Linked DNA regions of Saccharomyces cerevisiae S288C. Each later gene encodes a partner of the first gene's protein in a complex. Each region holds a gene or a part of one and is shown on either strand. Other genes may lie near its edges.

Evidence for each region. Proteins that work in one complex are often made in the same cells at the same time.
Region 2: POP3 (region 1) and POP7 share a complex: the UniProt entries of both Saccharomyces cerevisiae proteins name them as parts of the nuclear RNase P and RNase MRP complex.
Region 3: POP3 (region 1) and RPP1 share a complex: the UniProt entries of both Saccharomyces cerevisiae proteins name them as parts of the nuclear RNase P and RNase MRP complex.

What each region holds. Positions count from the first base shown.
Region 1 is NC_001146.8:105,950-108,848, reverse strand, and holds POP3 (Pop3p), read right to left. Parts: upstream 1,163-2,899; coding exon 575-1,162; downstream 1-574. Other genes in the region: HCH1 (Hch1p), read right to left, coding at 1-382; WSC2 (Wsc2p), read left to right, coding at 2,154-2,899. UniProt on the Saccharomyces cerevisiae protein: Required for processing of 5.8S rRNA (short form) at site A3 and for 5'- and 3'-processing of pre-tRNA.
Region 2 is NC_001134.8:570,929-573,835, forward strand, and holds POP7 (ribonuclease P/MRP protein subunit POP7), read right to left. Parts: upstream 963-2,907; coding exon 540-962; downstream 1-539. Other genes in the region: TYR1 (prephenate dehydrogenase (NADP(+))), read right to left, coding at 1-272; PEX32 (Pex32p), read left to right, coding at 1,443-2,684. UniProt on the Saccharomyces cerevisiae protein: Component of ribonuclease P, a protein complex that generates mature tRNA molecules by cleaving their 5'-ends. Also a component of RNase MRP, which cleaves pre-rRNA sequences.
Region 3 is NC_001140.6:222,338-225,307, forward strand, and holds RPP1 (RNA-binding RNA processing protein RPP1), read right to left. Parts: upstream 1,422-2,970; coding exon 540-1,421; downstream 1-539. Other genes in the region: GIC1 (Gic1p), read right to left, coding at 1-141; 2-dehydropantoate 2-reductase PAN5, read right to left, coding at 1,693-2,832. UniProt on the Saccharomyces cerevisiae protein: Component of ribonuclease P, a protein complex that generates mature tRNA molecules by cleaving their 5'-ends. Also a component of RNase MRP, which cleaves pre-rRNA sequences.

The DNA of each region.
Region 1 (2,899 bases):
ATTCAGACCTAACCAATCCATCAAAAGCATCAAACCCTTGCGACAAAATCGGAATATCAGACTCGTCATGCATAAACTCTGGAATTTCTAGTTTCCCGTCCGCAAGTATGCCGTCATCATCCTCGTCGTCCTTATTAGTATCCAAATTTGTCACTTTGACGTTCATCGACAACTGTAAGTCAAAGTAGCAAATCGGCTTGCCCTTCCTTTGAGATACGTTGGAGTCACCGGTGATGCTACTCACCTGGGTTAACTCAATTTTGCTCTTCCCATCAGAGGAAACAGTGGACAAACTCGTTAATTTACCGTTCAAGTAGTCCTTAGACCAAGGTAAGGTGTTTTTATCCACCCAATGCCAGTTATTTGGATTCAAGACAACCATATTTTATCGTAAATGTGTTGTAACTTTCCGATCGTTTCAAACTTTAGTAGTAGTTTGATGATTTTGTCCAAAAAGTATTTGCTTAAATTTCAGCTTTTTTCTTCTTCATATGTATTTCTTTTTTTCCTCGCTTTCTCTGCCCACTTTTTTCTTCTGTCTTCTAGAAAAATAGGCCTGCGCGGGTAATTTTGTCTACTTTTGCCTCTTCTTCGAGACAATTGGCACTGTAGTTTTCAACAGCTTGACAGATGTGGGCCGATACTTGATAGCATTTAACCAGGGAAACTGAAGCAGATCAACGTTCTTCTGGATCTGCGATACGAATTTCTTGTCGACCCTATCGTCGCACCGCAGCAGCAGCATTCCATATTTAGAAACCGACTTGAAGGTATCCATGGCACTCTTGGGCAACTGCACCAGTTTAACCGTCATGGGCGCCATATAGCATAATAGCGGGATTTGCTGCAAGAGCACAAGCGGTACATCAGGGTCCTTATTGCACACAAATAGACATACTGGGTCGCTGTTTCCGTGAGCGCCGCTCAAATACTGCACAATTTCATTGAAATCTGTATACAGCTCCCAAGGGTAGTTCTCCTTCGATTGAATGTGAATCAACTTATTTATGATAGAGGATTGCAGCAGCTGCCAAATCAATGGCTGATCATGCACGCGCGGCCACATATGTGCTTCGTTTGTGAACGGATTGTCTAGCACGGGCTTATACACCTGCCTTCTTTTAGCTATTTTCTTGTCTAGAGATTTTAACGACCCGGACATGCTACTTACCGTCTTGATTTCCTCACCTTCCTTCTTGTTACAGTCCTCATCTCTATATCACTCATAATCTGAAAAATTTCACTTAAGCACGCAAATGCTATTTTTTACTTATTGCCCGCACGAGAAAATCAGAGAAAATTGAACTATGAGAACGGTATAGATCAGGGAATACATATCTGAGAACAACATCAAATATCCGCCCTGGCAATAGGATGTGCATAATTGCAGTTAAAGAGTGCATCGCATTTCCCCCGATTTTTGTTCTACTGAAAGTATGAACCCTGCTGTCGCGTTGGCCAGAACAGCCAGCTAGACCAATGCACCTTTATCACGTGACTATTACCGGGTAAAGTTACGGACATTTCGCGTTTTTTCCTGTTTTTTTTTTTTTTCGCGGTGCGGTGTTTTGTGGGAATGTGTTTGTTTACGGACTGTTTCGACATTAAGCAGAATGTTTCAACAGTGAGCCATTCTTGATTTGGTCATCTGGGCCCTATCTCCTTTTACTATGAATTTGCATATGTTTGTATGTTGTGATCTAGCACTTCTCCCAGAAGTGCATTTACAGCAGGTTTTTTGTTTCGTTTTATAACACTCTGTTTCGGTCTTTCTTTTTAAGATTGTCAGGGAAAAGAGTTCCAGCGACTGCTTTATACCTGTCCTCCGTCCTTCGAAGAAATAAAGAGGAGAAACCCTCAACGTAAAACATATAAGCAGTTTTCAAATCATCCACTCGCTTTTTCAATTCTTTACTATTGCTCAGCACGACCAACTATAGCTCAAAGCGTGGCTAGCCTTTGATTTACCATTATTGCTCTTTTTTTACTTTCATTTCTACCTTCGTTTTTCGCCAAAAGAAAACAAATCTAGTGAAAACAAACATTGCTGTTCGGTTATAGGACACGCTTTTTTGTATTTTTACAGACTTTCTGGTTTCTAATTGTTTCTTCTTTGAATTTCTTTTTGACCAACAGCATTATAGAAGTGGAATATGCACCTAGATCTCATACACAAGTCCTTCATCTTAGTGTGGCTCATATATATACGAGCCGCGTTGGCTGACCAATTCACATATAAAGCTTGCTATTCAGCTAGTGATATACGAAAATTGGGGTTGACTTACAAGGGTGTTTACGAGTATCAATCAGTTTCCTACTGTCAAAATGAATGCCCTGGTCAGGCTGTCGTTGCTCTTTTCAACGGTACAGGTTGCTACTGTGGTGGTTCCGTAGCTCAGTTACAGTCTTTGACGCAGGTAGATTCGAGCAAATGTGATGTTTCGTGTGCTGGCTGGCCCTACCAAAATTGTGGTGGTTCTTCTGCCATGAACGTTTATATCAATAACGCTGCTTCTACCGCGGACTCAACTTCATCTACTGCTACCTCAACATCGACAACATCTTCATCAAGCACAAGTGTTAGTTCAAAAACGTCCACGAAATTGGACACGAAAACTTCAACTAGTTCTTCTGCTACGCACTCATCCTCTTCCTCGTCTACAACCTCCACTACCACTTCCTCTTCAGAGACAACTACTTCCTCCTCTTCTTCATCCTCTTCCTCTTCTACGTCTACTACTTCTACTACTTCTACTACCTCTAGTACTACTTCTACTTCTTCTTCTCCTTCCACCACTTCCTCTAGCACTTCTGCCTCTTCCAGTTCAGAAACGTCCTCTACGCAGGCAACTTCTTCATCCACCACATCGACCTCATCCTCAACTTCGACAGCAACGGT
Region 2 (2,907 bases), on another chromosome or scaffold:
GTTGCGACGATCTTACTAATATTGGATGCTTCAACACTATAGATAATATAGTCGCTTTGCCTGGATACCAAATGACCATTTTTCACCAGTTCGAATTTAGCTGAGGCATATTTTTCTTTCAGTTCATCATAATATTCTTCCCTATCACAACATATAACACCCCATCCAGCATCTGTAAATTTATTAGCGTATAATAGGCCCATATCACCCAGACCAATTATACCAATGACTTTTGTGGCTTTCCATTGCTCAATCTTATCCTCTGATACCATGTTTATCAAGTGGATATGCTGTCCTCTTTCCTTCAAGTGCTACGGTATTCTTGTAATTCTAAAAACTTTTCTTGGTTTGAATAATTCCAGTATCACTTTCTTCAAAGCTTATTTTCATATAAGGCCTCAAAAAAAAAAAAAAAAAATGACACATAGCTGAAGTGATAAACTTACTACACTGGTATAACGCTTATTAGAGGAAATCTAATAATAAACTGTTAGCTATAAATAGTATACAATAACAATGAGCGCTAAAAGTATGACATATTAAACATAAATACGCAATTCTACACCGCTTACAGCCCTTTTCTTTAGTTGGGTTTCTTTATCGTCATCTTCAACATCACTTTCCATGTCGATATCAGCTTGGCCTTCAGTTATTACTTCATCAAGAACTTCTATAGTTTTAGTGTAAACCTCTATTTTCTTGTTCTTCTGATCTTGAAAATGACAACCTAATGCCAGTGTCTTTTCTACAGCTTTACCCATACCCAAAACCGCAACATAGGATGATCCTTGCTTATGAACGCTATCGAGAAACTTATTTATTCTTTTCAGTGCACTAACGTATGGTGTTGTAGACTTAACGAAAATTGTTGTGTGTATTTGCTTATGCGTTAGAGTTTTCAAAGATGGGTGTTTCGTTACTCGTTTGGTAGATTTGTTGTGTGTATTCTTTTTGAGTGCCATCCTGGGTGCAGAGTTCTCTTTTCTTCTTTGACCGTCAATCTTATTGCTTATTTCTGAATAGTTAAGTAGCTCTTTACAGAGAGTGAAATTAAACAAATGGTCAAACAATCGCAGGAAAAAAATGAAGAAAAAACATTTTTTCGAAATGACATGAGAAGACTATTGATGTACTTCTCATGATTATTCAACCATATTGAGCTGGACAGATTTTTACCAAATTGATTTGGGAATTTTAGACATTATTGTTGTCATACCATTTTCATATTCAATTCAACAGCCTGGTGGGGAAGTAAAGAAATTATCCCCGAAACAAATACCCTTTTATGCTTATTTCCAAGAATTACTGGAACACCAACTGCAAGGGTAAACAGAATTGATGAAGAAGGTGCAATCACTCGAAACTACTTCATACTTTCTCTTTTCTTTCATTGATCTTAATTTAGTTCAGTGGACATCATTTTGCTAATTTCAAGGAAAGAAATGGACACAAATTCTAAAACCAAAGTACAAACTGAAAATAAAAAAATTAAGGCGAAATTTATACATAATCATGGGCAAAAGCCCTCTCTTATCCAAATTACACCTCCAATGATTTCCAGCACTCTGTTTCACGCATATCCACTACTACTAATATTCGACAATGCCTTAGCGAATATAATGTGGCTGTCCGACGATAAATGTTTAACATTCATTTATCTAACGAGCATATGGCTGACCATAAGTTTTTTTATCCCCGTTGAAACAGAGGCTAGCCATTTTCTGCCATTTACAAAGATTTTGAGACTATGGTTAGGCATTATAAGCGGGGCATTTCTATTCTTATCATTCATGTATTATATTGTTTCATTGATAGCTTCGTTAAGAGACACGGAACCTCCTACATTGGATGAAATTGTCGTGCTACTAGAGTCTGTGTTGGATAAACTGGAAGTACTGAGAAACGAGCTGAATGTTTGGAAAAAATTAAAGCTTTCATTTGATGGCGTCAATAAGGAGTGTTCTGGCAAGAGGTTGTTTTGCAGATTATTCTTATTCGGTACAATTTTTCAAATTATTATCATGAGATACATATCACCGGGAACTTATACTAGATTTTTTATTATTACCGGCTTGATATACAATACGAGTAGTTTTCAAGCTACCTTAAGGCTACTTTGGAGGTTTACTGCTGTTAGGAATTTCTATTATTTGGGGATTGAAAGTTTTAAAATTTCGAGTTTCTTACCAAAACACTTAAAGATGGAACAAATTATTCCTTTATCTCAAGGACGTGCAATCACGGTGCCACTGGTAGAGGTATTGCCTAAACTACTTCGGGACAAGAAGGGTGATGACCACATTCATATTCTACAGCTTCTACTTAATGAGCAAAAAGATAACTTTGGTAATGAAGACCTTAAAATACTAGAAATTGAAGTATACGAAAATCAAAGAAGGTGGTATCAAAATAAAAATTGGAGTACAAAATTACTGCCGTACGAAAGACAAAACTACTGCATAGAAATTAAAAACACTGATGGAACTTTAACCATGAGGAGTTGTTTGCCCCCAGATGGACTTGGTGAAGAAGAATTACCCAATAATTGGCATTGGATCAATGATAATTGGGACGGAACTGATTGGATATATTCAGATTCAGCATGGAAAGAAATTGGACAATACAGTTCTTTGGAAAGTTTTACCAGGTCAAGAAAATGGAAACGACGCCTCTTCCATTTGTAATAGTATTGCTTTAAGCCTCTAAACTGCATATATAGTTGGTTGCCTAACATTATCATGATATGAAGAATTTTCTCATACTTTGAAACATAGGACAAGTAAAACTTTATAAGATCATGTGCACTTTGTGTATGTTATTTCATAATTTTCATTAAATTCTTATAACGGCTTATGTAGAAATAATTATCATTTTTATAATAGAAGATTGAATATAGAGGTAATGTAT
Region 3 (2,970 bases), on another chromosome or scaffold:
ATCGGAATCCGTACTAGGTCCATTCATGAATCGTTGCCTTACTTGGAATCCATACAATTTTTCCATTTCCTGATCCTCGTCAATCCAAATGGATTTCATTTGAGGAAGCTCCATCTGTTGCAGCCTCTTTCCTTCAGTCATCCTTTAGAATTTATCACACAATTAATAAGCGAGTATTCAGAGTGAATTATAAACAATAAACAATAGAAATAAGTCTTTCTTAAAAAAAAGTAGTGATAGTCCGTACGAAGATAATTAATTGCAGAATAGTTTTCAATGGTTTCAGCTCTCAGTAAATCCTACAGGTACAATGTAACAGAATATGCCTTGGATCCCCAAATTTTTTTGTCTATTCGTTGTTTTCCTTCTCTATGGAAATCGTCGAAAAATTTCTTTGTTTTTTTTTTCCTTTATTGTTGTTGTCTTTTCGCGAATTCGCGTCGCGATTCGTGGATTGTGATGATAATAGCGATGTCTACTACCCGGGTACGTATTTAATTATCATTTATACATTATATGTTATAGGTTAGCGTATCGTTTTAAGGCTTGTGTCTTTTGGAAGCATGGCCTAATTGTTCAGCATCCATACTCCTTTTCACTACCTTGATGGTCTGGACGTCGTCGATGCCTTGAACATCGTTGACCACGTCATCGCCGTTTCCGCTACCACCACCGGTAACAATGGTCTGTTTGTGGCTCTTATTCCTTAAGCGGCCATTTAGGAGGACGAGTGAAGCTAGGTCTCCCATGGCCTTCGAACACCTATCGCTCGGAAGACCTAAATTCTTGATTAGACTTGTTACTCCTAATATGTTGCGGCACTCAAGTGGTGACATGGCACCACTGCCGATAACAATGCCTCTGGACCTCGAACTCCTGATGACGCTTCTTACATTGGATACGAACTGCCTCCGAGCTTGTACGTCACGCAAAGCATAGCCATAAACAATTTCAAGTTTTACTCCTCTGTTCACACAGCTGCATATGCTTTTATGCTTAAGGAAAGTAGGCAGGCGCGACCCGTACTGAAAGGTCAACAAGTCAATATCCAGATTGGTAGTTGATAAAGTAAGGCCCTTTTCACTGATTGGCAATGCTGCTACAATATCAAAGGCCTGGCTTATCTTGGAAAGAGACTGTCCCTTCGATGGATCGTCGATAATTAGCGTGATCCTGCTGTATAATTTTAGCCCTGTTCGATCCATCAATTCTCCAAACCTTCTCTTGATATCGATAGGATTTAACAGCTTAACATCGTTGGGGAATTTCTCGCTGTGGTTTACTGTAAAATTTATGGCGATGTGTGTATATCCCAACATATGCAATGTGGATAACGTTTTTATTAAATTGTTGACCGCCTGAGAAGTAACTTTGTCTGCATAGCTGTTCTGTGGCCACGGTACATTCAAATCTACCAGCATTCTCGGTTCTATAATGCTTTCACTTTTGTTTTTTGTGTCTGTTTAGGTTAAGTATTTTCTACTGGTAAAATGAAATTTTTTCATTTATGCGAGGTAAAATTCTGGGCATCGCACATACATTTTTCATGTTTTCTGGTAGTAGTAACAAAAGAGAGGCACTTGACAAATTAATCTGCCTTCAGACTGTTAAGGTTCGCTCGAATAAAGCATTAAGAGTGTATATATATCAGTATTTATAAATGTATATGTTCTGGCTGATATCCGCGCATTTTCAGTCCTTTCTCCAGTCACCATTGATACTTCTCGACCTGTTCAATGCTAATCTCATAGTGGCCAATTCTCCGATAGTTTTATTAACCTTGCAGCAGTTTGGGTCTAGATTTAAGTTATCAGCCAATTTGACGACATAGCCATTGATATACTCAATTTCAATGTCTCTTAAGAACAAAGTGTCTTGTCTCATTGAACTACTGTTCCTAGAATTGATGTCACAGCCAATTCTAGTGACTTCGGAGACCATGTTATCGGTTGTCAGTACTGCATTGACATCCATTTCTGGGTATTCTTCATTACCGCTGTATTTTTCGTGGTATTGAAACAATGGCCTATAAGCAACTCTCAATATTTGTAAACACTCGTCAATAATAGATGTGAAAACTGGACCGCAACTGGCCTTCATCTCACCATTGACACAATCTAGAATAGCCGTAACTGGATTCATGCATGCATTAACCAAAAATTTAAATAATTGACCAAAGAGCATTTCTTGATAAGTGGAATGTTCTATTCCAAATTCCTTGGCAAATTTTGGTTCTGTTAATAATTTTACTAATGAGTTATTGGCTGCATCGTCCTCGACTACGGATTTTTTTTGAATCATTTCTTCCTCAGTCCAAGGCAATTTGGCAATTTTCATACCAGCCCACCCAGCATGATTGAAAACTCCTGCTTTATCCTGATAAACGCCATGAGAAATGACACCCTGAAATAAATGTGGTCTGTTTTTTGAATCTGTAAAGATTTCTTCTCTCAATAGTTCTAAAACGCCCAGTCCATTCTGAATCAAAATTAAGTTTGTATTTTTATTAATATAAGGCAAATAAGGAGCTAGTGCTTCTTTGGTTTGGTAAGTCTTTGTAGTGACGACTAAGTTGTCAATAGGTTTTTTAGAGAAAGTTTCAGGGCATTCGCATTTCTCCACTGGATAAGAAAATATTGGCGAGCCTTCCAAATAAAGTTTGCGAATCGAAATGTTGTTCCCATTTGTCTTCTGAAATTGTGCAAGTCTTTCTTGTGATCTAAATAAGGGCACAACTAGGGCATTGGTAAATCTTAAAAGGTCAACTGCCAAAACGGTACCCATGGCACCCAACCCAAGAATATGAATAGTACTTCTGTGTGGTGCAGTCATATTGTACAGACTTTATCGTATACGTATATTATCGATTTCTCCTATCGATCGTAACATACAAAGGTGAGTATAAAGTATCTTGTTTTTTTAATATATTTGTATTAAGCTGAATGGCACGATAAGCCTTTCTCGAGAAAC